Sus scrofa: one gene and its partners. The protein of the gene in region 5 interacts with the protein of the main gene of each other region in a pairwise test. Links are inferred from orthologs where the notes say so. Each region holds a gene or a part of one and is shown on either strand. Other genes may lie near its edges. The genes, in order: MRRF, KANSL1, CWF19L2, EHHADH, TRIM27, BAG5 and DMRT3.

Region 1 (4,846 bases), on a different chromosome or scaffold from region 5:
ATCTGTGTTAGCCCATTTCCTAGCTGTGTGACCTTGGGGAGATGATAGGCCTCTCTGAGCTACAGTTTCCACATCTTTCTCATGGAGATATTAATAAACCTTTAAAAATACAATGATTAAAAAAAAAAAAAAGGGAGTTCCCGTCGTGGCGCAGTGGTTAGCGAATCCGACTAGGAACCATGAGGTTTCGGGTTCGGTCCCTGCCCTTGCTCAGTGGGTTAACGATCCGGCGCTGCCGTGAGCTGTGGTGTAGGTCGCAGACTCGGCTCGGATCCTGCGTTGCTGTGGCTCTGGCGTGGGCCGGGGGCTACAGCTCCGATTCGACCCCTAGCCTGGGAACCTCCCTATGCCGTGGGAGCGGCCCAAAGAAATAGCAAAAAGACAAAAAAGAAAAAAAGAAAAAAATAAAAAAAAATAAAAATACAATGATAATAATAGTGAAATTATAGCTTATAATTATACACTGATAACTATGAGCCAGAAAGAATTCTAAGTGCTATATTACATACATGAACTCATTTGAGCCTCATGATAAGCCTAGGAGATAAGTACTATTATTATAATCCAGTTTATGGATAAAGAAACAGAGGCACGGATAAATCCTTTGCCCAAGATTTTATTTCAAGCAATTTTGTTCCAGAATCTGTTCTCTTAACCACTATCCTATACTGTGTATATAAAACAGTATGGTTGCTGGCACTGTTATTCAAACTACTGAAATATTTTTAAAAATTACAGAAGTACATAATCTCTATCTAAAGTTGAGGTTCTCAAAACTTGAATTTTCCTTGTGGTTTTTTGTTTTTGTCTTTTTAGGGCTGCACCCACAGCATGTGGAGGTTCCCAGGCTAGGAGTTGTCAAATCGGAGCTATAGCTGTTGGCCTACGCCACAGCCACAGCAACGCAGGATCTGAGCCGAGTCTATGACCTACCCCAGAGCTCATGGCAACGCCAGATCCTCAACCCACTGATCAAGGCCAGGGATCAAACCTGCGTCCTCATGGATGCTAGTCAGATTCATTTCCGCTAAGCCACGACGGGAACTCCAAACTGTCCTGTTTTTCATAGAAGGCACATTTTAATGTTGTAAAGAACTAGATGAGGAAAACACACGTCCTGGCTCATCCACTACGCCAGCAACCCCTACCAATCCAGTCGTGTATTAGCTTATAATACGCTAATAATACACACAGACCCTTGCTGTACATAAAATACTTTCATATGTATTACCTGATTCCCACAATAACCAGGGTTATGATTACCACCCACATTTTACAAAGAAGCAAACTGATCTTCCATTTCCGTGAATACTCCTCCTGCTTCAGGGCCTTCAAACATACTGTTGCATCTGCTTGCAAAGGTCTTCCCACACCTCTTTAATGAACAACCTCACATTTTCCTTTCAGACTGCAGCTTAAACATCACTTCCTCAGAGGAAGCCTTCCTTGGCTGCCTCCTCTAGCCCAACAAGTCAAATGTCCTATAGCCCACTTTCATAACACCCTGTACTTTTTCATGGCACTTTAACAATATCAGCTAATATTTGTGCAGTTATTTGATCATGGTCTAATTCCCCCCATAAGACTATAAGCACCACAAGGACTAATGTATGCTTGTCTTGTTCATGGCTGTGTCTCCAGTCTCCAGCACATTCCTGAACACAGAAGACTCTGAATAAATGTGATGAAAGATGAGTGAAAGTCTAGAAAGGTTAAGTCCTTCCTCAAGGTCACAATGCTGGCACCAGAACTGAAATCTAAGCCCCGGACAGTAGGTCCTGGGCTCTGTTTCCCAAAACTGCTTCCAGTGTCTCTTGGTTGACAGATTTTTCACTTAGAGATAATAAGGCATATTATTCTCTAAATTCGGTGCCTTGTGAGGGCATTTATAGTATCTGACTATATATAAGATCACATCCCTGGCACAGCTAAAGGAAGGATAAGACACTTTAACAGATGGAGAAAGAGCCTTTGCCTAAGAGCTAGGAGGCCTGGATTCCGATATTCCTATCTCATCACTCCTGCCAACTATCCTTTTTAGATTCATAACTACTCTGTATTCAAAAAGTATTTGTGAAAGCTCTGCCGCTGACGACTTATATCAAGTCATTTCTTCTGAGGTTGTTTCCTCAACTATAACACGAAGAGTCAGACCAGACTTTCATTCTTTCTAGCTATAGAGCCTTCAAGATTCTGAGAATGCAATAGAGTGGGGTGAGTGGAAAAAAGCATCCAACTCAGAGAAGACCTGGGAAAGAATGCTGGTTCCAGCACTTCCTGGGTATGTGACCTTACATAGGTCAAACTCTCTTGGCCTCAGTCTCATCTGCAGATGACAATACGACTTGTTAGGGTTACCGGGACGATCGAATGAGATAAGAGCTGCAGAAGCACTTTACCAATATAGAAGGGCTACTGAAATGACTGTTTTGTCACTGGACGGCACAGAGTAATGTTGGAATTGAGTCCCCTCACTCACTAGCCGCGTGACCGTGATGAAATTACTCGTTCGAGCTTCCGTTTCTCCATCATGGGGAGAAACCTCCCACGGGATTGTTCAGAAAATTAAATGTTCCTGCCAGGTAGCGGGCAACTAAGTACCTGATACTATTTAGTAACCTAAGCCTCCCATCCTGGAAGTTCCTAGCTGATGCGATTAGCCCCGCCCCCAACCCGTGAGACTCTCGGATCTACCAGTCCCGCCCCCATCTGTAAAGGTCAAGCCGGATTCCAACGGAATGCATCGGGAACGGTGTTCCGGGCCCTAACAGTCCCCTGAGAAGTCCCTGAGCAGAAGTCTCTGGCGCGCGAGCCTCAAGACTATACCGAGGACACTCACCAGCTAGCTCCCAGGGTACTAGGAAGACTCGCGCGACCGCGGCGACGGAGGCGGCGCGGGCGTCGTGACGTCACGGGGCGGTGCGGCGGCGCAGGCGTAGTGCGTCAAGGGCGGCCTGGCAGCTGGCGGCGTTGAGGTGGACGGGTGTAGAGGGCCGTGGGACCGCGGAGACGGGACCTGCTTTGGGGGCATGAGCCGAGGAGAGGACTCCGAAGTCACGAGGTGAGTCCGGCCACAACGCGCCTCTACCCTTTAGCGCCGGCCCGACAAGGAGTTCCCAGCGGAGGCTCCCCCAGTGAGACGGCTCCTCAGACCCCGCCCCGGATCGTCCCGCCGCTGGCCCGGAAATATCAATCCGAGTAATGACCCCTCGCAGCTGGGAATTCGCGGCCAGGGATCGGGAAGCCGGGATTCAAGCCTTGACCCCACCATTACCATTAGCTTTTTAAGAAGAAGCGCCTTTGCTTCTCTGCACTTCAGTTTTCCCAAATGACTGTTCTTGGCTTCCAGGGTAGTTATAGCTCAGCTGGGCGGGGGCGGGATGGGGGAAGGCTAAAAAGCGTTTTGTGAACTGTGAATCTGAAGGGTTGTCGCCATTGCAAACCCAAGAATTTTGAGATAGTTGCATGCCATCTTAATCACTTATCACACTTTACCATTTCTCAAAAAGCTCTGTGCCAACTTATCAAATGTATTGCCATATTTTAGCCTCATAACAACTCGAGATAAGGATAATAATGCCCATATCAAGGAAGAAGAAAAAACGGAAGCTCCAAGTGGGGAAATGGCTTGCCTGCTTCATTCATTCGTTCATTCACTAAACTTTGAGCACCAGCCAGGAGCCAGTGTACTAAGTGCGGGGATGGGGAGGGGGATAGAATCATCAAAATAATCAAGACCCTGCTCAGTAGTAGCTTACTTTCTCATATCTTACTTTCTAGTGAGGGAAACGAAAGATAAAACAACGTATAAGGCATTGAACTGGTATTGAGTGGAAAGAAAAAGTGCCTGTGATAGAGACTAACAAGATGCCCTTACTCTGTTAAGGGAAAGCTTTTCTAGGGCTAGAGGACACTTGAGGGGAGATCACGACTTGAGTCACAAAATAATAAATCCTGGGTGCAAAAGCCAGTATTTGAGTGCCTGTCTTTTGGCCCCATACCCTGTACTCTTTCCCCTTAAAATGATTCACTTGTGTGGTATTAAGTACTTGTTGGTATTATTTATTGCTGTTTTTAGACATGAGAGAGTCAGAAGGGTCTACATTCAAGTCTCGTCTCAAATGTCATTTCCCTTAGAGGGCTTTCCACTCATTCTGAAGTAGTCCAGCCCCAATCTCCTTGTCAGATCTCCTTGCTTAACTACGTTTGCAGCACTGATCACAAATTACGCCTTGTATATTTATTTTGCATTTGTTTTGTCCTGCCCCTTTTCTAAATATGTGTATCCAGAAGGCAGAAACCTTGCTTGTTCACTGCTCTGTCCCCAGGACCTAGACGATGCCTGGAAAATACAGGCTTTTTTGAATGAATGGTCTGTAAGAAAGTAGAAGGAAAGGAAATCCAGGAGAAGACAAAATGTTTCTCCTCCCCCAACCTCCATGCCTGGGATTCTAGTCATGCCTATTTCTCCTTTCTCCCAGGAAGTAAAAGCAAGAACTGTGGCTTATTCATTTCTCTTTTTCAGCAGCTGGTAGCTGCTTTTCACACATTACAGAACAGATTGAACATGTGAGAGAGGAAGAAGAACGCCCTTGTGTGTTGGAGGGGTAGATAAACACATTTAACAAACAATATCTAGGGGCTACTGTGTGCTAGACTGTAGAGGCTGTGCTGAGGTGAATAAGAGATAACGCCAGCATTCAGTATGGCAGCTGTTGTTATTAAGACGCAGTTCCTACAGCAGTGATCTCAAAGGCACTTCTGGTCTTATAGGACCCATGTTTTTTTCTAGCAAGGAGTTCTGAAGTCTGGCACAGCCTGCCATCTGCCCAGGCCTTTTTTCTTT
Region 2 (4,062 bases), on a different chromosome or scaffold from region 5:
TCAACCAGAGTCCAGTACTTGACTGCGTATACCCTCGTTGGTTCCAACAAACACCCAGGAACTTCTGCATTCTTGGCTATCCCCAGTGAACGAATACGAAGGGCAACTAAGGGCAGTGGCCTTCCATGGACACAGCTAGGGCCCAAACTCCCTGTTGACCCTCCCTCCACAGGTCCTAGGGGCCTGTGCCTGCCCCATCACCTGCTGCCCCGCCGCTGGGGTGGCACACTCGTGGTCCACAGCCACCGAGCCCTCTCCATCTCCTCACATTTGGCATGCAGGGCGGCAAAGGCTGCGTCAGAAAGGTCCTCGATCTGCAAAAGAGCATTCATTGAGCCCCTCTTTCCTCCAGAAGTGTGGGTAGGTCAATTCTAGAAGCCGCCCCACCCCACAGCAGGCTCTTCCTGGTCACAGCAGGAATACAGTGAGCTTGCACTTGATGCCACAGGTCCTGAGGCATCTGCAGTGTGTGCTCCTCCCAGAGGGAAGGACCACACCCTTACCTCCTCGTTCTCCTCATCAGGACTCCCCTTCAGAGACCGAAGATCGACCTCCCGCCAGCTGCAAAAACCAGAAAGGGACAACCGTGAGGTGGCAGGCAGTTTGGGGCAGGATACATTTGTGTAAGAGTGAGAGCCCTCCGCCTGCAAGTGACACCCCTCTATGCTGGGCCTTCTCAGCCCTGGAGGCCTCTACAAGAGGCTCCACACTCAAATGCCCACGAACAGGGGCAGCAGGCCGAGGGTGAGATGAGAGCTGGGAAGCTGAGGGGTCCAGCTGATGCTCCCATAGGGGAATGCACATACAGGGCTGCCCAATCTTTGAATCTGACAACAAAAGCTGGAAATAAAGACTCATATGTGAAACCTTGCTTTGATGCTGACGACAAATTCCGTATTTTAAAAGACACTTGTATATGTCAAACAAAACATGACCATAGCCAGTTTGTGGCCTGAGGTCTGGCTGGTGCTCATATAATGGGAGAGAATTATCTACAGAAATAATTTCACTCTAATCAGGTGGACCTTCTCTCAAGGAGAAGACAGAAGCCAAGGTGAGGGCCCCAAGCTCAGCGACAAGAAGAGAGGAAGAGGTACTAAGAGGAAGACCAGGGGAAGAGCTGATCATCCAGGACCCCTACCTGGGAGTCAGGATCTCCTTGTACTGCAGCTTCTCTACACGGGTCGTTGCAGCCACAGACATTGGGATGACGATGTTGTTAATATCGAATGAGCTCTCGCCCCTTCTCCTCCTCACTGGCTGCTGTGAAGACAAAGGTTACGTTTAAAAGGGAGGAACAGTTCCACAAACATCAAATCATACGTGTGAGATTCCAAACAGGATCGCAATAACCCCAGTAGGGACGACCACGGCAGAATCCCTAGGAGATGATCCCCCACAGCAAAGTGCTCAGGAAAAATACCAGGTGGTCCTGAGGAGCAGCTCCTGCCCCAGTCTTACTGGCCACCCTCCTCCTCCAGGCAGCTGCTCCATTTCTGCTCCTCCACACACGCCTTTTTACTCCCTCCCCGACTAAATCCTTTCTGTTCCCCCTTCATTCCTGTCCATGATGTAGACCCATGATGGCCCCTAAAAGCAATGCTGAAGCCTCGTGGTGACTCTTGAGGTTAAAAAGAATTCCCTTATCCTGAAAGACGCCCAAAGGACAGGCCCAGCTCAATGGATCATCTAACCTTGGTTGTCATGAAAGCACCTCCTTCTCGTGGGTCTGAACTCTTCAGCTGAATCTGTACCCAGCCCTTATTACGTGATTTCCTCTTCCTGGCTATTATTCTTGGGGAAAGAGCTGGGAGCTTTCTAACTATATCAATGGAGATGAGTGGAGGGAATGGATGAAGAGGACCGGGCTATACAGCTCACACTCCTAGAGAAAGGAGATTCGTCCCTGTAGGAAGTTAAGATCAAACTCAGGAAAGAAGACTAACGAAGATCCAGCCAGTATCAGAGGAGGAGGTGGGCATCTGCAGCAGCTGGGAGATCAGGAGGAATAAAGCAAGGAGCCGAAGGGCATGGTTTCTTAGATGGAGGGACAAGTCCATGAGCGGCCTTGTGCCTTGATAGCAAACACCCTGCCCTACAATAGGGACTGACAATTGAGCTGAGAGGGGCCAGAGGGAAATAGTGGGGATGACAAACATGCTGCCATGGCAACAGTACAGCTGTGAACACCTAAGAGGCTGTATTCAAACCCAAACCACCAACAGGGATCAGCCCAGAGGCAAGGGGTTAGTGAGGGAAGATGAGAAAGAGGCTGTTCCCCACAACTAAGCTGTCTACTCCCTGTTCCTGGAGGGGCATCCATGACTGGTCCATCCTATCACTGCAGGGCCTTCTCAGAGAATGCTGAAAGGCAGGCTTTCCTGAGCCAGGATTTTAGTTGCTGTCACCTATGATTTCAGGTTAAAACAATGTCTTTTCCACCTCAGTTTCTTCCTCTATCAGCAAGAACAGACTGATGCTGACTGCACAAATTTAAGGTAACTGGTTAACCAAAACGGCTGATGTCTTGCCTGGCTGAGTTCTGCAGCTGAAGCTCAGTGACCTCATACCCCAAGGCCTTTGCCACTGCCTCATCTCTGCTGAACACATGCGTCCCACTATAGGAAGTGTACCTTAAGGAAGCCTCAAGAGACACTTTCCCTATATTTTGGTCGAGAATGAATGTGAAACTGCTGGCAGAAACAGCTATGTATTTTCCCTGAATCTTCTTGGGCCTGCTCTTAGTACCTTCAAGGCAAAGAGACAGGTGTGGGTTGTGAGGTTCAACAGGCTCCAGCCTCCACCCCACACTTAGATGCCCCAGTTCCACCAGGTACTCATTTGGTCTAACGTAACTAACTACTTTCTCCTGTTTAGAGCCACAGGTGGAAGGCAGGTGATGAGAATGCAAAGTGGTGCCCAAACCTAGCTACACATCAGAAGCAAGAGGAAGAATAAATTAAAACAACAACAACAAAACACACACAAAAAACCTTCCAGGGTCCCCTCCTTTCTAACTATCAAATCAGAATATTCAGGGCTTCCAAATAAGGGGCAGGGGGGTGGCAGCGGCACACAGAGGTGATTCGGATGCATCCATCAGCTTTTGTGGCTTTTGCTGAAGCACTACCACATATGCCCCCATCCCTCCCTTCCCCTGCCATTTCTCCAGTGTCTTGTAGCTTCTCTTATTAACTATCTGGTCTGTCCCTCTTCTTGCTATTAAATAAATCCAGATTCTTTTGAAGAAATTTGTCAGTAAGAGCCTTAAGGGTCAGCATAGTGCTATATACAAAATTTGTATGCATTAAATAAGTAAAAATTTTAAACGATCCAGGCCTAAGTTTACATTTGCCAGACACATGAGTGCTGGCAGGTTAAAAAAAAAAGTGAAGTCTCACCAAGTCCTAGAAATTAGAGAATATCTTCTATCAGGATAAGCGCCCCCCCTTTTTTGGGTGGGAGGAGGGGAGCTGTGTCTGCAGCATGAGGACACTCAGGACCAGAGATCGAACCTGAACCACAGCAGTGACAACGCCAGATCCCTAACCTGCCGAGCCTCTATAATAAGTCTCTTTAAAATCCTTTCATTTTCCAAGACTCCCTGCCAATGGACAACTGAATGTGTGACAGATTCTACACATCTATTGAGATAAAACCTATAGTGTGCGAGGTGAAAGGGGGGAGAAACGAGATCATTTAAGAGTCAGAACAATATGCAATAGGAGCTTAGTGAGCACCAGCATAAGTCACCTCTGCAGTGCCCCAACCCAGGCTCTCACTGTGTAGCACGATGGTCAGGTACAAGAGCTGGCTCTGCAGTCAGACTGCCTGGGTCGGAGTCACAACTGTAACCCTCACAACTTGCCTTGCCTCAGGCAATTCACTTAACCTTGGCAAGTCTCCGTTTCCCTGCCAACAAAATGGGAATCTTTTATACCACCTACATGTCAAAGGGCATTACAGGACTGAATGAAGTAACGCATCTAAAATAACTTAGCACTGACACAATAAGCACTATAGTAGGAGCCTTTGGCTGTTACGATGAGGACTGCTATATAA
Region 3 (4,062 bases), on a different chromosome or scaffold from region 5:
AAAAAAAAGAAAAGAGAGAGCGAGAGAGACAAAAGAGTTCCAAGTTCAAAAGAGAGTCTGTAGGAAAATGTTTCTCTCATTATAATTTCAGTAACAAGAAGGTCCCTCTCTACTCACTTGTCCCACAGAGGCTGAAACTCCCATGTGAAGGAGCTTTAATGGCAGAGGCTGATGAATGTCATAGCCAAGTAAAGAGACTATACTATCCCAGAGCTAAAAAATCAGGAATAAACATTCAAATAAGCAATTAAACAAATAAAGATTTGCTACAACAAGTAGGATGAAAATAATTTCTTCCTTATTTGTAGAATTCTACTTAGTTCATGTTTGGTCAATCAGCCAAATGACCTTTTTCCCAAATAAGTTTTGAAAGTTACAAAGATCCTAAACACTAGGCTAATTTCTTATATTAAAAAAAAATACTTACAGACTTTCTGATATCTTTTGAAGAGAGATCAATCAATTTCTTGTTCATAGACCACTCTTCATCAGATTCCATTATGGCTTTCTAAGAAATAGTCATTCGTTAGTAAAGAATAATATACAAGTAAATGCAAAGAGACAGTTTAAAAATAAATTAATACAGTGAATTAATTATGTGGTATAATACACGTTAGGTCATTATTTTGAATGAAGGCTTTAATTTCTGTTACTTAAAATGGGAATTTCTTGATTTCTTATAGGTCCTATCTTTATCCAAGATTATACTATTTTACTCATTTTTAATAACCCTTATACTAACTTGAGATCACCTTTGCATGACAAAAACAATCCTTAGTAAAACCAAGCAATTAAAATTGAACATAATTTGTGAACATAAAATTTCACAGATTCCTTACTTCAATCACAGACATCTACTCAAATAAATTAATTTTGTTTAACTGTTCTTCTTCTGAATATAAGAATAACTTACGTGCTTTCTGGCAACAAAATACTTGAACTATTTCCGACCATATAAAAAAGGCATAAAAATGCCAGAGAAAAAAATACATAGAAGTGGAATTATAAGACTTTCTAAGCTAAGCAATGTGGCTAGTATTTATGGTAAAGAAATATTAATAAAAGGAAAGCCTGGAGTTTCCATTTGGCTCAGCAGTAATGAACCTGACTAGGTTCCATCCCTGGCCTCACTCTGTGGGTTGAGGATCCAGCATTGCTGTGGGCTATAGTGTAGGTCAGAGATGTGGCTGGGATCCTACATTGCTGTGGCTGTGGTATAGGCCAGCAGCGGTAGCTCCGACTGGACCCCTAGCCTGGGAACTTCAATATGCCTCAGGTGTAGCCCTAAAAAGCCAAAAAAAAAAAAAAAAAAGAAAGAAAAGAAAAAGAAATAAGAAAACCAGGGTGCTGCATATAAAATAATCTCATTTTTATACAGTATCATTATTAATGAAGCAAATTTAAAAGGTGAAATTGGAGTTCCCGTCGTGGCTTGATGGTTAACGAATCCGACTAGGAACTATGAGGCTTCGGGTTTGATCCCCGGCCTTGCTCGGTGGGTTAAGTATCTGGAGTTGCCATGAGCTGTGGTGTAGGTCACAGACGCAGCTCGGATCCCGCGTTGCTGTGGCTCTGGCGTAGGCCCTCGGCTACAGCTCCGATTTGACCCCTAGCCTGGGAACCTCCATATGCCTCGGGAGCAGCTCTAGAAAAGGCAAAAAGGCAAAAAGGCAAAAAAAAAAAAAAAAAAAAAGAGGTGAAATTAACACCCAGATAAGCACAATTTAAATATATTGGGAGCTCCCACCCATGGCTCAAACCTGAGGTAAAGGTTGATCCCCAGCCTGGCACAGTGAGTTAAAGGATCCAGCATTGCCACAGCTGCAGTTTAAGTCTCAATTGCAGCTTAGAATCAATCCCTGGATTGGGAACCTCCATAGGCTGTGGGTGCAGCCATAAAAAAACAAAAATTAACTGGATCAGGTATATGTTCTTCCCTTTTTAAAAGATTTAGGTTGCTTGGGTTTACACTATAAAATGGCACATTCAATATAAAATTGAAGCCAAATCAAATAAATACATCTTTAATGATCACACAAAGGGTTTATTATAGAGGAGAAAAGTGACATGCCATTCTGCTAAGAAATGAGATTTCAGTCACCCCAGCATGAAAAAAGAGTAGTTGGAGTTCCCGTTGTGGCACAGTGGTTAATAAAAACGACTAGGAACCATGAGGTTGTGGGTTCGATCCCTGCCCTTGCTCAGTGGGTTAACGATCTGGCGTTGCCATGAGCTGTGGTGTAGGTCACAGATGTGGCTCGGATCCCGCGTTGCTGTGGCTCTGGCGTAGGCTGGCGGCTACCCCTAGCCTGAGGACCTCCATATGCCGCAGGAGCGACCCAAGAAATGGCAAAAAAAAAAAAGAAAGAAAAAAGAGTAGTTGGCCTATGATGTGCCCTATAGCTCCATGCCTACAGTCACAGTCACCTAAGACTCTACTGAGGAAGTACAAGGGGAAAAAACCCAAGCACTGAAGAAAAGCATAATCTATTTGTCAACTGATTTTGTTTAACATAAGACTGGCATGGGTTTTGGGATTCCCTGGCTGGTTCTTCCCTATGTTAATAACATGACTTCAAACTAAGTAATCAAATTCTTTTTAAAAATTTCTATAGGAAAAGTAGATTTTCACCACCTCATCAACCTTAACAGGTTTTATAGTACTTTTTATCGGGAATTACAGTCCATATTAATTAAACTTTATCATCTATACTGTCAAAATGTTGCATTTGCAAGTTCTTATACCACCTCACAAAACATTATCTTTTTTTAATTGTACGTTACTATTTCATATATGGTTCTCCATTTACAAATTTATATTAGTCTATAAACTATACTGCACTCAGGTCAGTAACGACATTGATTTAAGAACTCTGGTCATTTATTACATGTCCAAAAGCACATGTCAAGTTTAGGTTTTAATTTCTTTTTATAAACAGCATGATGAGGTATTAAATACTAAAATATGTATCAATAACTTGTCTTGGCAATTGTTATTTGTACGGTTTGCATATAACCATCTTCGGCTCTTATGAATTTTAATGATAAATCTTCTAGAGTATCACTAATTTGGACCTGAAAGTACGTCAAAGAAAAATTTTGATTTTTCATTTGAGAAGTGAGAAATTAAAATAGAAATTAAAAATTACCATTTGATGGTATATTCATACTCATAAAAAAGCATGCTTTTTGAAGGTCAAATCCCAAATTTCTTTCTACAGAAATGTATATAAAAGAATTTTTTGTACTTTACTTCATTTCTTTATATGATATATATCTAAGTATACAGGAGAAGACATCAGAATAAAGATAACTGTATTCATAAAACAGTATCATGGCAAAAAATAATTATGCACGTAAAGACTATCTATGAATACCTTAAAATAGATGGGAGCCATGTCACCCACTTCCTTTGGGAGAGGAATGCATTCATAAACCATATGATATTGTTTTTTCATGCTCATATTAGTTTCTAAAAAGATACAGTCCAATCCTTTATCTGTGAACATCTTTACCAAAGATTTTCTGAACATCTGAAGAAAAGAAAATGGCTCGGTAAATATAAAGCACTGAGAGGTGATTCAAAATATGAAACGATAAAAAGTATAATAAACTCCTTTAAAATAAAAAAATAGTAAACAATGTCAAGTCTGTAACACTGCCTTACAGTTACTTTACTTTCTAAATCTACTACATAATTTCACACAGTTAAGCAACACTTTGTTAAACTGCAAATCAATCTGCACAGTATTATGTACATGGAAATGATATATGTCACTTGCATGCTAAAGTAGTTACTAAGAGGTAGTGTGCCTTCTCGCATCCATTTTCTTCCATCCCAGGGGCTGAAAAGGAAGAACTCCACCATAGGAGAACCTTGTCATGGAAAGAGCCTGATTACTCCTTGGATGCTATCTGCCATACTGGACTATGATATAAGAAATTAACTTTTGGGAGTTTCCATTGTGGCTCAGCGGTGATGAACCTGACCAGTATCCATGAGGATGCAGGTTCAATCCCTGGCCTTGCTCAGTGGGTTAAGGTTCTGGCACTGCCATGAGC
Region 4 (4,062 bases), on a different chromosome or scaffold from region 5:
CCGTATGGGAGTAAATGTTTTGCATACTATTGAAATAAAGTTGGTACTAATCAGAACTAGATTGTCATAAATTAAGATGTTATTTATAATCCCCAGGGCAATCACCACTAAGAAATAACTCAAAAATACACAGTAAAAGAAATAATAAGAGAAGTTAAAGGGCACTAGAATATATCTATTTAACACAAACAAGAGTGTTAGTGGAGGAATTGAGGAATAACAAAAAAAGAAGGTACAGAAAATAAATTGCAAAATGGCAACTATAAATAATTATGTTAAATGTAAATAGCAGATATTGGCAGAATGGATAAAGACTATTTAATAACACTTTAAACATGCTATTAGTATAAAAATAGAGTTCAAATGAAGGAGAATAAAATTCCAAATATTGGGGGTTTTTTAATTAAAAGGTTGCAAAGAAAAACAAAACTGTAAGAAAAAGATATTACCCAGGAAAAAGACCAGAAGGAAATAAAACAGAATGTTAACAGTGGTTATTTCTGAACTGTGAGTTTATGGTGACTTTAGTTTACATCTTCATACTTTTATGCATATTTTTTATAATTTATTACAATGATGAATATTATATTTATTACTAGAAAAATATAGGAGTCCCCATTGTGACTCAGTGGGTTAAGAACCCAAATAGTATGAGGATGTGGGTTTGATTCCTGGCCTTGTTCAACAGGGTAAGGATCCGGCGTTGCTGCAAGCTGTAGCATAGGTCACAGTTGAGGCTCAGATCTGGTGTTGCTATGGCTGTGGTATAGGCCTGTAGCTGCAGCTCCCATTTGACCCCTAACCCGGGAACTTCCATGTGCTACAGTGTGGCTCTAAAAAGAAAAAAGAATTATTTACAAAAATATTACTGGAATTCACATCGTGGCTCAGTGGAAACAAATCTGACTAGTATCCGTGAGGATGTGGTTCGATCCTTGGCCTCGCTCACTGGGTTAACGATCTGGCATTGCCATGAGCTGTGGTGTAGGCTAGAGACGTGGCTCGGATCTGGCATTGCTGTGGCTGTGGCATAGGCTGATGGCTACAGCTCCAATTCGATCCCTAGCCTGGGAACCTCCATGTGCCAAAGGTGCAGCCATAAAAAGACAAAAAAAAAAAAAAAATACTCTTGTAAGACTGGAATCACAAACTTCAATCTACATGTCTAATAATCCAAATTAAATCTATTTCCAGAAATAAATGGATTTACTAGTTGTGTGCTATTTCCAATGGGAGTTTGTCTTAGGTACTAATAATTATGAGACCACAAAACTGAAATGTTTGTGATAGGAAATGAAAATTTAAATAAGTATGCATACTCAGGGGTGACAGTCAAAATATTTAATACTTCATACTGCATGAGCATGGCTCAGTGAAATCTGACATGTGAGCCACAGTAACAGAGCAGGATTCTACAGGTCCTGTCTGAACAGGAGTTCCGCTTTAGTTGGTGGGTCATGGGGAGGTCCAAGAGCTGGGGTTAGGGGAAGTGGAAGGACAGTCATGGGCTCAGGGTATCAGCTATTTATCAAATAAAATGGATATTTTCAACCTTTCAACAACTACTACTAATGTATTGGTACAAAATAGCTAATACCAGTGCTAGAAATACCTAAGAGTTGTCAACCAATAAGCCAACCCTTTAAAATTAACATCTCTGATGCTTAGGACTACATTTAGAGCTTGCCCTAAATAAAAGCCCCACCACCAAATCCCCTATAGATCCCCTCTGTTACCTCTGCATGGGCAATCCTATAGTGACAGCCCAGGGCCAGCTCCAGTCCTCCTCCTAAAGCCAAGCCTTGGATAGCAGCCACCACAGGCTTCTCATATCTCTGTATTTTATCTACTATATCTCCCAGTGTTAAGTCAGAGGTTTTATGAGCGCTGAAGCCATGGATATCGGCACCTAAGAATACAAAGACAAGGAAAAAAGACAGTAGAGGAAGACTTGGGCTTTGCTATAAAACAAAAAGTAACCAGATAACTCTTTTTTTTCCCCCTTTTGTTAGGGCTGTACCAGTGACATATGGGAATTTCCAGGCTAGGGGTCAAATTAGAGCTCAGCTGCCAGCCTACAACACAGCCACAGTAACATGGGATCCGAGCTGCATCTGCAACCTACACCATAGCTCATGGCAACATCAGATCCTTAACCCACTGAACAAGGCCAGGGATCGAACCCATATCCTCATGGATACTAGTTGGGCTCTTAATCTGCTGAGCCACAACAGGAACTCCTCAGATAACTCTTAAGGAATCTCAAACCTCTTTGGACCCATGAAACACTTCATCCTTGGCTGCAGACACAGTAAAGGAACAAATAGCCTGGAAAATGTTGAATGACATGAGAGAAAATCCTCAAATCTTTATCAGAAATCCTGAGCAGGAGTTCCCATCGTGGCAGTGTGGAAACAAATCCGACTAGAAACCACGAGGTTGTGGGTTCGATCCCTGGCCTTGCTCAGTGGGTTAAGGATCTGGCGTTGCTGTGAGCTGTGGTATAGGTCACAGACATGGCTCGGATCCTGCGTTGCTGTGGCTGTGGCACAGGCCGGCGGCTACAGCTCCAATTAGACCCCTAGCCTGGGAACCTCCATATGCCGCAGGAAGCGGCCCAAGAAAAGACAAAAAAAAAAAAAAAAAAAAAGGAAATCCCGAGCAAAGCCAGGGATCAAACTGGCATCCTGATGGATACTAGTTGGGTTAGTTTCCACTGTGCCACCACAGGAACTCCCAAGATAGTTTTTCATGTAATAGTAGCAATTAACATTTATTAGATAAATACTATATATCAGGCACTGTGCTAAGTAGATTTATATACTGCCTTATTTAATTTTCTTAACATTGTTAAGTAGTATAACAGTTTCCATTTTACAGGTAGGGAAATTTAAGGCTTTCAGGTTAAGTGACTAGTTCAGACATAGGACTCTGTAAAAGGCAAGGAATGATTCTTCCCTAGAGATTTTGGAGGAAGACTGGCCTTGCAGATATCTCGATTTTGAACTTCTAGCCTATGGAACTCTGAGAGAATATGTTTCTGTTGTTTTAAGTCACTCAGTTTCTGCTCATTTGTTATGGCAGCCCCAGGAAACTCATATAGGAAGTAAAACTCTTATTTTTATTCTCTGAAACGTTCCTGTAAAATTAGAATAATATTTTCCTTGACTTTTCAGTTAAAGGTTACCAATTAAGTCATCTGGGACTTGAATTTACTTTGTAAGATTTCTGAAAACTGATTCAATTTCTTTAACGATTTCCTATTTTTTCTTGAGTCAATTTTATAAGCTGTGTTTTTCTACTTGTTCCTATTATCTTTTTTAATGGCCAGAGCATCTGCAGTGATATCTGTCATTCTTTATGCGTATTGTTTGTACCTTCTTGTTTTTTCTTGATAAGTCTAACTGAAGCTTTATCAGTTTTATTAGTCTTTTCAAAGAACTTCTGACATTTTTATTCTCTTGATTCACATTTGTTTTCTATTTTAGTAATTTCTCTTCTACTACTTCCTTCCTTCTAATTCATTTGGATCTATTTTACTGTTCTGACAGTTCCTTGATATAGATGCTTACCACAATATGGTTGCTTTTTTTTGTTTTCTGATGTATATCTTTAAGGCTATAAATTTCCTGCTAAGCTTGAGCTTGTATTCCTCAAGCTGTTTTTATTATCATTCAGTTCAAAATAGTTTCTAAACTGCATTGATTTCTGCTTTGACTCAGAGGTTATTAAGAAATGGATTTATTTTCCAAACACTTGAGAATCTCTAGTTAGTTTGTTATTGATTTATAGCTTGACTGCATTATGGTCAGAGAACACATTCTAAATGAAATTCTTGAGATAAGCTTTCATGATCCAGTACCTGATCAATTTTTGTAAATGTTGCAAATTTGAGAAGAATATATATTTTCCAAATGTCTGGCGCATTGTTCCATATAAGTCCATTAAGTTAAGTCTGATAATCCCTAATGCTTTTCTAGGACAATTATTGTTTTTGCCTCTGAACCTAACTGCATTCTCTCCTACCTCCTTTCCCACAAAGAAATATCAATTCTGACTTTT
Region 5 (4,532 bases):
TTGCCATGTGGTCAAAGAGCAGGAGAGCCTTCCAGGCAGAAGAGATGGCATGGGCAAATCTAATGAGTGGGAAGGGGAGGAAAATGGTTGTGTATGGCTGGAGCACATAAGTGCTGGGGAAGAGGCTAGAAAAAGGTAAGAGCCCTGAAGCCTGGCAAGCTAAAGGGCAAGGACTTAACAGCAACTGGGAGCCATGAAAGACTAGCAGGGAAGTCACATGGTCTGACGTGTGCCCCATGGAGGATGATCTGGAGCACACAGCCAAAATGTCTACAATGGTCCTCAAATAACCTTGATTTGTATGCTTAATTATTTGAGTCCACTCAAGTTTACCAGAAGATTCTCCACCCATCAGATCTATTTTCAAGCAGGGGAGCTGACGTCTCAGTGGATTTTGTGTGCAAAACAAGTGATGGGATTTTATGGCATCGTGAGAGTAAGTTTCATTATACTATTTTTGGTATAGTAAATCCAAAAATTCTTTACTATACCCTGTCCGGGACTGACAAAATTTCTCACAAGATGGTGCCAGACACTACTAGTCTAAGACTTTGCTTTTCAGATGCAAATACTTCTAATGAGTGAGAATTTGTAATATTTTATTTATTGTTCAAAAAGATACTGAAAACACCTAGGTGCTGGACATATAAGTATATATTATAAAAATCTTCATATTTTTGTCTCGTTTTTCAGAACAAAACCCCCAAACATCCCTATCACAAATTAGCACATCAGCCACTTGCTAAGGCCTTGAGATGATAGGGGAAGGAAACAAAGTGAAAAGTTTAGAACTGAAACATTGCCAAGAAAAGGAACTTTCTAGCAAGAAGTTAACTGTCGGGCTCATGGAAAACCATCTGTCTGCAGAATGGTACCAAAGGAGGCTAACCACCCAAGAATTTCACCTGTATCAGCTTTGTCAAGGATCAATCATGGTCTACACAAAGCTAGAGGATTAAATTTATCTCCAGGGGTTTTAAACTCAGCTATTCCCACCTTTCCTCCAAAATGTAGTAATTTCTTGGTTTTCCAGGTGAATTCTCACCTGCTATGTAAGCTTGTTCCACCCAAACCTGGATGACCTGACTGCACAAGCCTTGCAAAAAAAAAAAAAGAGTGACCAGCAGAACTGACATTATCTGTGTATCGAGTCTTACCAAGAGTTCAGCTCGTGCCTGCTCCCCCTGTGCCCGACGCCTCTTCTTTAAGTCTTTCACTCTTTTTAGATGGTCCAGCTGGTTCTGGATTTGCTCCTGAGAAAAGCAAAAACAGTTGGGCAGTTCAAGATTAGGCAGACCTTAGCATCAATATGGCTACTCTGCTTATCACATGTGCAACCCACATTTCTGATGCCAAGTCCCTGGTTAGAGTCCGTCCTTGGACTACACTGCCGTCACCAGGGCACAGAGGTCACCACACTTCTCTTTTGGTAGTTTGTATCTTAAATGGTGGGTAAGGATACTCCACGGCTTAGTGGAAAGGTGACTGGACTAGGTGGCTTTGAGTTGTCGCTCTTTCACAGTCGCATACTGAGAAGATTTAACAGCTCTTATTTTCTTATTGACATGGGCAAACACCGCTTTCTCAGCCTCCTGGAGGGTTATCACCAGGGTGAGTAAAATGATGTGAAAGCATTATAAATGTTAAGTGAATAATTTTGCATGAATGTACTCACAGTCAAACATGTACATGTTCCTGCAGTCCTCAAACACACAGATCATGCACTCCTTGAATGTTGCCTTACAACTGTTTTATATTTAATACTTTGTTTCCATGTTACTGTTTAGCTGCGCCCGTCTGCTGTTTCATGAGTTTACAAAGGGATCCACACATCAGCTCACTTCACTCAATCTTCATAACTGTGTTACCTCCTTTGAGTCTCACGGTGGTTAACTGACTTAAGCAGTAAGGAGCTCATTTTTCCGTGAGCTTCTAGAAGAAGATGGAGCATAGGGAAGTGGTGGGGAAAGGAGAGGTGATGGCCATCTGCTAGATGTGTATACAGCCAGTTAACGTCCGACTGTGTCGTGTCTGAGATCATCTAGGAGCCATCAGGAGTAAGAGTGTCTCTGAAGCTTGCAGATGCGTACATGGTTTTACGCATTCCTTTTGTACAGTCAAGGGAAGGGGGTCTCCATGGGCCGTGCCGGTGAGCGGGGAAACAGAGGGGCACATAAGGAAAGAAGAGTGGGGGTGGGGAGACTTCTGGCTTCCTCACCAGCTACAGGTTTTCCTCCCAAATCTGAGTGCCGAGGCTCTGGAGCAGACAGAGAGGAAATGACGGCTGTGAACCACACGTCCGGCTCAGCCATTTTCTAGGCGGAAAAAAGGAAGCCCCTTTGGCTCTCTACTCCCTTTGTCCGACTCGCGCTCCAGCCCCTCCCCGGCCCGCGCGCCCGGCCCTCACCTTGAAGCCCTCCACCGCCTCCTCGAGCGGCAGCACGCTGTGGCCGCGGTGCTCGCGGGAGCGGTCGCACACCACGCAGATGGGCATCTGGTCCTCCTCGCAGTACAGCTTCAGGGGCTCGCGGTGTTTCTCGCACACGCCCATCTCGCCTCCCGGCCCCGACGGCCGCTCGGTGCGCAACTGTTTCACCAGCTGGGTCACGTTGGCCAGGTGCCGGTTGGGCCGCATGTGCCGCTGCGGGAAGGTCTCCCGGCACTGCGGGCACGACACATTGGTCTCCGCCGCGCCCCAGCAGCGGGCGAGGCAGGCGCAACAGATGTTGTGGCCGCAGTCCAGCATCATGGGCTCGACAAAGTACTGCAGACACACGGGGCAGGTGGTCTCCTGCTGTAAGCACTCGGCCACGCTCCCGGAGGCCATGGCGCGGGCCCGCGGGGGCGCACGGGCATGGGCCCTTGAGCCCAGCCCTGCGAGGAGCCCAACTCTACGGCTCTTCCCTCCCGTTCGCTGCTTCGGGGCGGCGCGGGGAGGCGAGCCCGGCTGACGGAGGGCGGCGCCTCCCGGGCCCTGATCCCAGACGCGCCCGCGCGTTGGAACCGGGGGTGGTCGGGCCGCGGGGCCCAGCCGAATGACGTGGGGGTACTTCGGCCCCACGAAGCCCGACAGCTACGCCAGGGGGTCGCGAACCAGAGGCTGCGCCAGTCGGACTCCAGGAGCCGGGCGCTAGGAAGGCGCGAGACAACGTGGCCTTGTCCCAGCGGGTCCCGGCGGCCGCACAGACCCCACCCCGGCGCGAGCGGAAGAGGCGGGGCGGGGGCGGGGCTTGGCCCGAGCCACCCGGCGCCGCACGATTTTCTGGCCTGAGGGCTGGGCAGTTTTCCCCTCCTAGGACCTGGGAGGCCTTGCCCGCTGCCCTGGGGCTGACCGGGCGGGGAGCCTCAGGAGCAGGTAACCGAGGCAGGCGGTGTCCGCGGGGCGCGACGGAGACAGGGTAGCCCCTGCCTGCACGCGCCAGGCCCACTCGAGTTTCCGTGGCCCTGGGCCTAGCCCCCTAGTCCTTTATTGGGCTTCCTGCCTGGTGCCCAGGCCTCAGCAACGGCGAGAGAAAGCTAGCTTTGTGTTGGCGTGGGAAGAGGAGACATCTGGCCTCCTTGGGAGGCCGGAGGGGTGGGGGGTAGCCCACTGAGCCCCACCCAGTCTGTGAGAAGCTTTGTCTAACAACCCCATTAACAGGCAGTCGCAATTTTGTTTCGGAAAAGAAAGGCTTAATTATCAGAAGGCAAGATTGTTGTAACAGAAACAGACAAGCCCAGTTCTGCTACTTCCTACTGTCCTAAGCAGAATGGTTTACCATTCTGAGCTTCAGTTCCCTCTCTGCCTCTGGCTCAAGCTATACTCTCTGCAGCCCTCTACAAGGCCTACTCCTAACCCAAACAAGCTGGCGACATCACTCTCTCTTTACCAGCAGGCTTCCCATGTTCACGTAGAACCTGAAATTCTAGTACTTGGTTATTTTCTATCTAGACTTTCTTTAACTTTGCCTTGTGTAGAACACTTGAAACCAAAACACCTCCGACTCAAACCCAGGCTAAACCCAGATTGGGACTTGAACCCACAGTTTTTTAATTAGAATCACTCCCCTGGTGTCTGGACTTACTGAGGCTCAGGTTCTTTGTGCCTCAGGGCAGAAGGAAGGAATTCATTGAGAGGCAAAGTGATGGGCAAGAAATAGATTTATTAAGATACAAGATGCTTGTGAGGAGGCAGGTGAGGAGGCTTTTCTCCAAGAATTCGGTGGGCTACATTTTTGTCATCCAAGGAAAGTGGGGAGTAGGAGAAGACCACCTTCTTCCTCATCCTTCAGGTAGACCTCAGGCTCACATCACTAGCTCCTCCTTTGTATTGGGTAGGAGAGTATTTGACCCTATGACGTCAAACTAGGACTGCCTTGGTGTTCATTCAAATCAGCCGAAGGGTGGTAACATATGCTAAAATATGTTGAATAATCTCAGGTTTCCATAGAGTGAGGGTCTCCTATTTTGAAATATTATCTTTCCCTTACATTCCAGTCCTTAGCCCTAAGGAGCATTATCTTGCTGAACTTGAGTGCAGGCCTCATTTTATC
Region 6 (4,736 bases), on a different chromosome or scaffold from region 5:
CCAGGCCCGGAGTCGAATTGGAGCTGTAGCTGCCGGCCTATGCCAGAGCCACAGCAACTCGGAACCGGAACCTGAGCCACGTCTGCAACCTACACCACAGCTCACGGCAACACAGGATCCTTAACCCACTGAGCAAGGGCAGGGATGGAACCTGCAATCTCATGGTTCCTAGTCGGATTCTTTAACCACTGAGCCACCATGGGAACTCCATCGTTTAAACATTTTATCTGCAGCCCATTCCACACCCTTGGTCCACATTTTCATGTGACTGTTGGTATCAAAGTTTAGGACTCCCTTAAACAAAACGTCATTCCCCAAAGCAGTGCAATTTATAAAAACTGCTACAGATATTAATCGTTATGGCTCTTCAGTCACAGATATACATATATGCACACGGTTTCCAAACCAAATGAACAAAAACATTCAACGTGAAGTCCTACAAAACAGTACGCCATCACTTGAAGAAAAGCGTTACTAATCATAAAGACGACACACACACGTGCTGCGCATGTCAAGAGCTCTTTACATGTAAAAGCCAGTTATCCTCGACAGAAAGACGGTACGTATAAACTTTTTTTTTTTTGTCTTTTCTAGGGCCGCACCCGCAGCACATGGAGGTTCCCAGGCTAGGGGTTTAATCGGGGCTGTAGCCACCAGCCTACGCCAGAGCCACAGCCACGCGGGATCCGAGCGGCATCTGCGACCTACACCACAGCTCATGGCAACGCCGGATCCTTAACCCACTGAGCAAGGCCAGGGATCGAACCCGCCACCTCTTGGTTCCCCGTCGGATTCGTTAACCACTGCGCCACGACGGGAACTCCCCGGTACGTATAAACTTGCTGGCCGGCTATGCTATTCTTTTATTCATTTATTTATTTTTTTACTTTTATTTTCTTTCCGCTGTACAGCATGGGGACCAAATTACTCTTACATGTATACATTTTTTCCCCCACCCTTTGTTCTGTTGCACGGCTATGCTATTCTTAAAGTTCTTTCAACAGCCCCGGGACGGCGGCGGCACCCTCAGTCCCACCTCCACAAGGGGATTGACGCAGGAAACTGGGGGGCTCCAGGGCTTCCCCGCGCTCCACTCGCCTGTCCCGCAAAGCCCGTGCCGGCTCCGGGTCCCCACGCCGGGGGGCTCAGCCGACACCGCAAGTGGCGCGTCGCAGGTGTGAGGGTCCCACAGGGGTCCCTGAGGGGTGCGGCCCGGGTCTGCCGCCCCTTGCGGTCACTCCTCCCGGCCCAACTTTTCCGGGAACCCCACTTACGCGGCTGGGCGCTGCATCCCTGCGCTCAGCGCTGCGCTCGGGGGCGAGCTGACAGCCACGGCCTGAAAAGGCGCGGCGGAGAGGAAGGAGGACCGTCTTGCTTCCGGGCCGCCAGGGCGCCATGGTCGCCGTCCGTCGGCCCGCGCGGCGCACGGCGGAGTCGCGACGGCGCTAGGGGCTGCCTTACGGCACGGTCGCAAAGCCCGAGGACGGGGACAGCGCGGCCGATCGTGCTCTTTCCCCGCGTGTGACCGGCTGCGAGGACGGCCGTCGGCTCGGGCGCGGCCGGGTGGCCGCCTGCTCCTGGGGCTCAGCCGTTCCAGGCTGACTCGCCAGACGGCCAGCGGCGGGCTTGGTCAGGGTCGGGGTGGGCGCGGAAGCCGGAAGACCTTTTCCCAGGGCGAGGGGCTGTTCGGCCCGGGGGCGGAGCTGCCGGGCCCAGGCGACGGCGGGAGCTGCGGCGGCGCGGGGCGTCGGCGGCGGAGTGCGCGATGGCGCGGGCGGCGCAGGTGAGCGAGAACCAGGCGGCGGCAGCCTTCCCTCGGCGCGGGCAGCAGGCGGGCGACCCCCGACTCGGCGCCCTTCCCCGTTGTGGCCGGGCCGGAGTGGGCGCCGCCCCAGCCCTGGGTCCGACGCGGGCCGGCCCTGGTTTCCGAGCCGGGCTCCCCGCAGCCGGCCCGGCCCGAGCCCCCTCCCTCCTCGCCGGCTCCCAGGCCCGGCCGAGCGCGGCCGCCCCCTCCCCCGAGGGCCATTGTGAGGTCAGGGCGGGCGGGTGCGTCGTGGGGTCCGGGCGAGACGCCCGGAGCGGCCGCTGCGGCCAGTAGCTGCCGCTGCCACTGCCGGCCCCTTCACCGGCTGCCCCGTTCAGATCTAGCCGGGAGGGGTGAGAGGGATGCAGCTGGGGGCCCAGCTCCGGAGCCGCACCCCGTAAAGGGCTGATCTTCCATCTCGCCACTTCACCCACGGGAAGCCAAGACCAAACCAGCTTAGACCTCTTCTGGGTAAAGTGCTGGGAGGGAAGGGCGGGCAGGGAAGGGAAGAATCGAGGCCGCCTGCTCTCCCTGGGCCTCCAGAGGCGTGTTCTCGGCTCGGACACCCAGAAGGGATTGGTTTCACTTGAGTACCCGGCCCCCTCCAAAGAGCTGATCGATAGAAACCCAGGAGCATGAAAAAAGTGCGTTGAGCCATTCTGGATTCCTAATGTGAGGCTAGTGAATGGATTGCTCAGAGTTGTCACATGCTTGTGCGATGTATTTCGGAGAAGGGGCAGGAGCATGATGGGGCCTGGGGAGGTACTAGGCCTCCAGAGCCCAGGGTGGTGCTTTGACAGTCCCAGTCGCCTTTCCCGTGGAGCCCTATGCCACTGTAGAGGAGATGTTAGAAGGGCTCAAAGGATGGAGAGGACGGTAGAAGCGGGGACTTGGGCGGTGTCTGCGAACCACTGGTGTTTGTTTCAGTGGCTCGGTTCCTTTTGTTTACTTTTTCCGGAAATTAGTCATAGCTCTTTGTAATGGGGTGAGAGGAGGGCCCTGCTTAGACGTACTGACCTGGAAGGTTAGCAGAGCTACCACAAAGGTGCCCTGCCGCGCCAAAAAAAACAGCTTCCAGTTTTAAGACCTCAGATACCTGCACCTTTTCCAAAATGTTCAGCTTCATGCCATACTTATGATGGCATATGTTGTTTGTTCTCTCTTACAACTGAGGAAACTTGAAGTTCACAGGCCCAGAGCTCCGGCTCCTATTTCCACTCGGCAGTAGCCCTGGTCTCAACCTCGGTGCAGCTGTTTAGCTGTTTTCATGAGAGGGAATTGATGAGTCGCTCTGATTTCTGTGCTTGGATTTCTTCTCCTTTGGACTGCAGTAGCCAGCCTTTTTTTTCGAGCCTGTCTTTTTAGAATGAGAACTGTAGAATGAATTGAATATGTGATTACCATGCTGCAGGCTTTGTAGTGTAATGAGTTATCGTTTTTGCCATCTTTTAGTGCTTGTGAAACTGAACACAACCAAAGTATGGCGATGGGAAACCAGCATCCTTCTATAAGTCGGCTCCAGGAGATCCAAAAGGAGGTAAAAAGCATAGAACAGCAAGTAACTGCTTTCAGTGGCCTGTCAGACGACAAGACGTACAAGAAACTGGAGAGGATTCTAACGAAACAACTCTTTGAAATAGACTCTGTAGATACGGAAGGCAAGGGAGATATTCAGCAAGCGCGGAAGAGGGCGGCCCAGGAGACGGAGCGTCTTCTCAAAGAGCTGGAGCAGAATGCAAACCACCCCCACCGGCTCGAGATCCAGCACATTTTCCAAGAAGCACAGTCCCTGGTGAAAGAGAAGATCGTGCCCTTTCACAGCGGCGGCAGCTGTGTGACGGAGGAGTTTGAAGAGGGCATCCAGGACGTCATCCTGCGGCTGACGCGCGTCAAGACGGGCGGCCGGACCTCCTTGCGGAAGGCGCGGTATCACACCCTAACCAAGGTCTGCGCCGTGCAGGAGATCATCGAGGACTGCGGGAGAAAGCCGCCCTCGCTGCCGCTCTCCGCCGACGCGCACCCCTCGGTGGCCAAGATCAACTCCGTGATGTGTGACGTGAACCGGGCCCGAGGCACGCTGATCGCCCTCCTGATGGGCGTGAGCAGTGACGAGACCTGCAGGCACCTGTCGTGTGTGCTCTCGGGGCTGATGGCGGATCTGGACGCTTTGGATGTGTGCGGGCACACGGAAATCAGGAACTATCGGAAGGAGGTGGTGGAGGATATCAACAAGCTGCTGAAGTACTTGGACTTGGAGGAGGAGGCAGATACCACTTACGCCTTCGACCTGGGCCAGAACCACTCCATTCTAAAGATAGAGAAGGTCCTCACGCGAGTGAGAGAAATAAAAAACGAGCTCCTCCGAGCCCAGAATCCCGCCGAGCTGTACCTGAGCTCCAAAACGGAACTGCAGGGCTTGATCGGTCAGCTGGACGAGGTCAGTCTTGAGAAGAACCCCTGCATCCGGGAAGCCAGGAGACGGGCGGTGGTTGAGGTGCAGACTCTCATCACCTACGTGGACCTGAGGGAGGCCCTGGAGAAGAGACGGGCCCTGGCCAGCGCGGAGCACCCCTCGCTCGCGGCCGTCTGGACCATCCTGGGGCACTTGTCAGAGATCCAGGAGGAGGTGCTCGCCTTCGACGGCAACCGAACCGATAAGAACTACATCCGGCTGGAGGAGCTGCTCACCAAGCAGCTGCTGGCGCTGGACGCCGTCGACCCCCAGGGGGAGGAGAAGTGCAAGGCTGCCCGGAAGCAGGCGGTGAAGCTGGCCCAGAACATTCTCAGCTATCTGGACCAGAAGTCTGACGAGTGGGAGTACTGAAACGCCGGGGCCACGGTGGTGTTTCTCGCTGTGCACTTCACAGAGACCTCTGTGTGTTCGTGGAGGGCGTTTGGTGCGTCGAGGCTACATGTGACTTTTGCACATGCG
Region 7 (3,090 bases), on a different chromosome or scaffold from region 5:
AATATAAGGAATGTTTCCCCTAGTATAAGGATTTCTCATTCCAAAGGTGCCCAATAGAAATACAAATGAGATTTTATTTAAAATACCTGTTTTTCTCCTGGGACCCAGGCAAGGCCGAGGGGCAGCTGACATCAGCCCCTATCCCCTGCCGAGGAAGCATCTCAGGCCAAGAGGATCTACCCTTCTCCCTCCCAGACTGAAGAACATTTGGAGACTTATTCTTGCCCTGGGAGCTCTCTCTGCATCCTTGTCATGTAGAGGCTTTTATTTATTTTCTTATTTACTTTCCCTTCCACGTTCATAAGTTTATTGTCTGACCTGAGCAGTCATCTTTCTTCTCAAGCACTCAGGAGAGTGGAAACAGTAAGAAATGGTTGGTGGGAACACCACTGCACATTATTAAAACTCACTTTTAAAAATACCTGAGCAAAAAAGTGAATAAAAACAAATGAAATAAATAAAATAAAAATATCTGAGCAAGAGGTTTGCCATATTAGTGTCCTCCCCCTGAAATGCTTTTTTAAATGAAGGGGAAAAGCCCTGTTTCCAATGGTTTGTTGCAGTCACCTCCTAAACTGCAATGGCATCTTCTCCAACTGAGAATGAGGAAATTCACTTCTGCATCCTGACGGCAAATAGCAGAATATATTGAACTGAATAGGAGGAACTGCTCTCGTTGATTGAGTGCTGTCTCTATGTTGGGTACCATGCTAAGCACTGTGCTTACTTCCCACACTGCAGATTGTTTCATTTTTACTTTGTTTTTAATGAGATTCTCCATCATGTAATCCCTGCCATCTTCAACTCATGGGCAGGTAACTTGGTCAATAGCAGACAAAGAGCCTTGTCTTACACATAGTAGGCTCTCGATAAGTATCTTTTGAAGAAACAAACAAATGGATGGATAGCTGAGTTATCTCTATTCTTGAACAATACATTCTATCTTTCTGAATGCAGTCCCCAAAACTTTGCCATTCATTTTTCTCGAGGAATGTCGCATTCAACGGAAACCTTGATCCATGCATTAGAAAGCAGCTTTTATATCAAGTTTCTATTTTAGACATCCTCTTTCAACAAACAGAAATGACATAAACCAAGATCATCTCCTTAGTTTATTTTTTTCCTAGGCTCCTTAGCATGCTACATTAACCTGACAAAGCTTAATCTTGTGTTCATTTCACAATACAGTTCATGCAGTTCACAGCTGTGATTGGTTTTACATTGACATAACACATGTTTCGATTCAGCCATGTGAAAAGAATAATTCTTAATGGAGTTTGTCTCTGAAAACTGTCCAAGCTTAAATAAGCATGAGAGCAGTTCACTCTATTAAATGCAGTTTCTCTTTAAAATGCAAGAAGAATATTTAGCACATGAATATAAGGTCCCTGTTTATAGTCTGTTTGCAACTGAACCACTTCCTTGAGGTTTCACATATCCTGAGGAATCCTCCTTTACAAAATTGCATTCAAGTATACTATTTTATTGAACATTCCAGATTGAGTTTAGGAGCAAGGCTGACCTTCAGCTTTACATCCCCAAATAAATCTTCCATGGGCCCAAGGCTTTCTCGCCTATTCTTAGCATTAGACTCTCTTTTACAATGAACATTCAGCACTAAAGCCACAGAGCAGAGCTATTTGGCATTTTCCAGTGAAGTGCAAGAAATTAAATAAGTTATGTTTTTATTGCTAAGGTATAGAATCAAGCACAGTCACTTTGTCAAACAGAAGGAAAAGGTATACACAGGATGTGGGCCCTCCTCAAGGGGGAGCCCGGGGTTCAAATGCACAGAAAATGTCACCTGGTCACCACCCATCAGGCGCCACTTCTAAGATGATGTGTTGAGTATTCTAGAGTCTGAGGAGTCAGACCTCTCATCATAGTCGTCCTCGGTGTAAATGGACTGCTTTGACACAATGGGACACCCATCCTCAGGGATGGAAATCCTAGGGTCTTCTGGGGCACGGGCAGGGAGGACAGGTGAGCTTCTGAAGACGCTGGCTGAGTTGGTGGGGAAAGGGCTGACATACTGGGACCTCAGCTGGTACTGCTGCTGCAGCGTCATGGTGTTCCACAGGGTGACATCGTTGGGCAGAAAGGGGCTCGACTGGTTTCTCGCCAAAGTATTCCTCAGCATCAGAGGGTACCGGGGCGGCTGGGGGAAGGGGTGTTGCAGGGGCACCGCCAAGGGGTTGGGGACCACGTTACTAGAGTCCGCGGAAAACCTCAACGTGTCTGGGACCCTGAAGGCCGAGCCCACGGACCACTTGGAGGAGGAGATGGGGTAGGAGCTCAGCGTGTGCTCGAAGATGTGCCCATTGGAGGGTAACACCAGGCCCTCGGGCTCTGCTGAAGTTCGCTCTGCGGCCGAGCCGGAGGAGCGGCTGGAGAGGAGGACCTCCACGGCGCTCACCAGGTCGCCGCCACAGCCCTTGAGGATCAGCTCCAGCACCGTGGGCTTCTGGTTGGGAAATATCTTCTTTAACACTTCCAGAGGCGGCCTGTTGGCTTTCAGGCTGAAGGGCAGTGAGACGGTCCCCGAGGGGCCCTCGATCAGGAGGTGGTTCTGCTCCCCTGGATACTTGGGGCTGTCAGGGCGGCTCTCGGAGCTGCCTCCGTTCTTCTGGGCCGCGTACCCGCCTTCATCCACTGACACGATCTCAGGGCTCTCAGGGGTGAAGCAGCCCTTACTTTTGGCCACATCCGGGGAGCTCCTCTGGTCCGTGTCTTTGTCGCTGAAGGTCTCTGTGTTGTCGGTGGTGCTGCTGTCCCCAAGCCGTTCTTCAGCCAGATCTGAAAAGCACAGAGCAGCTGGGTTAATCCTTTCCTGGTGTGCATAAAGAAGAACAGATGTGCTCAAGAGAGGGTCCTACGCCGGCTTTTTAAAAGGGGAAGCGGCTTATAACATACTGCCAGCCTTTAAAAATCCCAACTATGTGATTGGCAAATGGCAAAAAATAAAAACAAAAAGAACTCTGTACATAAAGATCTAGAAATTGAAGTGATTTCTCAAAATGGTGTGTGTGGGGAAGCTGGCTTTCAACACAGAAGAGCAACACGATACCTACAACCGTAGAAGATGTGGCA

Evidence for each region.
Region 1: the proteins of TRIM27 (region 5) and MRRF interact in a two-hybrid assay, tested with the Homo sapiens proteins (2 studies listed by IntAct). The link is inferred for Sus scrofa from reciprocal best matches to the Homo sapiens genes TRIM27 and MRRF.
Region 2: the proteins of TRIM27 (region 5) and KANSL1 interact in binary tests that used the Homo sapiens proteins (3 or more experiments, as listed by UniProt). The two-hybrid records come from large-scale screens. The link is inferred for Sus scrofa from reciprocal best matches to the Homo sapiens genes TRIM27 and KANSL1.
Region 3: the proteins of TRIM27 (region 5) and CWF19L2 interact in binary tests that used the Homo sapiens proteins (3 or more experiments, as listed by UniProt). The two-hybrid records come from large-scale screens. The link is inferred for Sus scrofa from reciprocal best matches to the Homo sapiens genes TRIM27 and CWF19L2.
Region 4: the proteins of TRIM27 (region 5) and EHHADH interact in binary tests that used the Homo sapiens proteins (3 or more experiments, as listed by UniProt). The two-hybrid records come from large-scale screens. The link is inferred for Sus scrofa from reciprocal best matches to the Homo sapiens genes TRIM27 and EHHADH.
Region 6: the proteins of TRIM27 (region 5) and BAG5 interact in binary tests that used the Homo sapiens proteins (3 or more experiments, as listed by UniProt). The two-hybrid records come from large-scale screens. The link is inferred for Sus scrofa from reciprocal best matches to the Homo sapiens genes TRIM27 and BAG5.
Region 7: the proteins of TRIM27 (region 5) and DMRT3 interact in binary tests that used the Homo sapiens proteins (3 or more experiments, as listed by UniProt). The two-hybrid records come from large-scale screens. The link is inferred for Sus scrofa from reciprocal best matches to the Homo sapiens genes TRIM27 and DMRT3.

What each region holds. Positions count from the first base shown.
Region 1 is NC_010443.5:262,354,331-262,359,176, reverse strand, and holds the start of MRRF (ribosome-recycling factor, mitochondrial), read right to left. Parts: upstream 3,184-4,846; 5' UTR 3,062-3,183; coding exon of another isoform or gene 3,030-3,061; 5' UTR 2,840-3,029; intron 1-2,839. UniProt on the Homo sapiens protein: Responsible for the disassembly of ribosomes from messenger RNA at the termination of mitochondrial protein biosynthesis. Acts in collaboration with GFM2. Promotes mitochondrial ribosome recycling by dissolution of intersubunit contacts.
Region 2 is NC_010454.4:17,089,945-17,094,006, reverse strand, and holds part of KANSL1 (KAT8 regulatory NSL complex subunit 1), read right to left. Parts: intron 1,264-4,062; coding exon 1,142-1,263; intron 562-1,141; coding exon 504-561; intron 315-503; coding exon 202-314; intron 1-201. UniProt on the Homo sapiens protein: Non-catalytic component of the NSL histone acetyltransferase complex, a multiprotein complex that mediates histone H4 acetylation at 'Lys-5'- and 'Lys-8' (H4K5ac and H4K8ac) at transcription start sites and promotes transcription initiation.
Region 3 is NC_010451.4:35,982,907-35,986,968, forward strand, and holds part of CWF19L2 (CWF19-like protein 2), read right to left. Parts: intron 3,534-4,062; coding exon 3,378-3,533; intron 509-3,377; coding exon 428-508; intron 1-427.
Region 4 is NC_010455.5:123,151,720-123,155,781, forward strand, and holds part of EHHADH (peroxisomal bifunctional enzyme), read right to left. Parts: intron 1,910-4,062; coding exon 1,737-1,909; intron 1-1,736. UniProt on the Homo sapiens protein: Peroxisomal trifunctional enzyme possessing 2-enoyl-CoA hydratase, 3-hydroxyacyl-CoA dehydrogenase, and delta 3, delta 2-enoyl-CoA isomerase activities. Catalyzes two of the four reactions of the long chain fatty acids peroxisomal beta-oxidation pathway.
Region 5 is NW_018084804.1:137,946-142,477, reverse strand, and holds the start of TRIM27 (zinc finger protein RFP), read right to left. Parts: upstream 3,210-4,532; 5' UTR 2,828-3,209; coding exon 2,408-2,827; intron 1,254-2,407; coding exon 1,158-1,253; intron 1-1,157. UniProt on the Homo sapiens protein: E3 ubiquitin-protein ligase that mediates ubiquitination of various substrates and thereby plays a role in diffent processes including proliferation, innate immunity, apoptosis, immune response or autophagy.
Region 6 is NW_018084979.1:2,106,866-2,111,601, reverse strand, and holds the start of BAG5 (BAG family molecular chaperone regulator 5), read left to right. Parts: upstream 1-1,465; 5' UTR 1,466-1,783; intron 1,784-1,801; exon of another isoform or gene 1,802-2,275; intron 2,276-3,256; 5' UTR 3,257-3,284; coding exon 3,285-4,628; 3' UTR 4,629-4,736. Other genes in the region: APOPT1 (apoptogenic protein 1, mitochondrial), read right to left, coding at 1,275-1,397. UniProt on the Homo sapiens protein: Co-chaperone for HSP/HSP70 proteins. It functions as a nucleotide-exchange factor promoting the release of ADP from HSP70, thereby activating HSP70-mediated protein refolding.
Region 7 is NC_010443.5:220,818,726-220,821,815, forward strand, and holds the end of DMRT3 (doublesex- and mab-3-related transcription factor 3), read right to left. Parts: intron 2,797-3,090; coding exon 1,832-2,796; 3' UTR 800-1,831; downstream 1-799. UniProt on the Homo sapiens protein: Probable transcription factor that plays a role in configuring the spinal circuits controlling stride in vertebrates.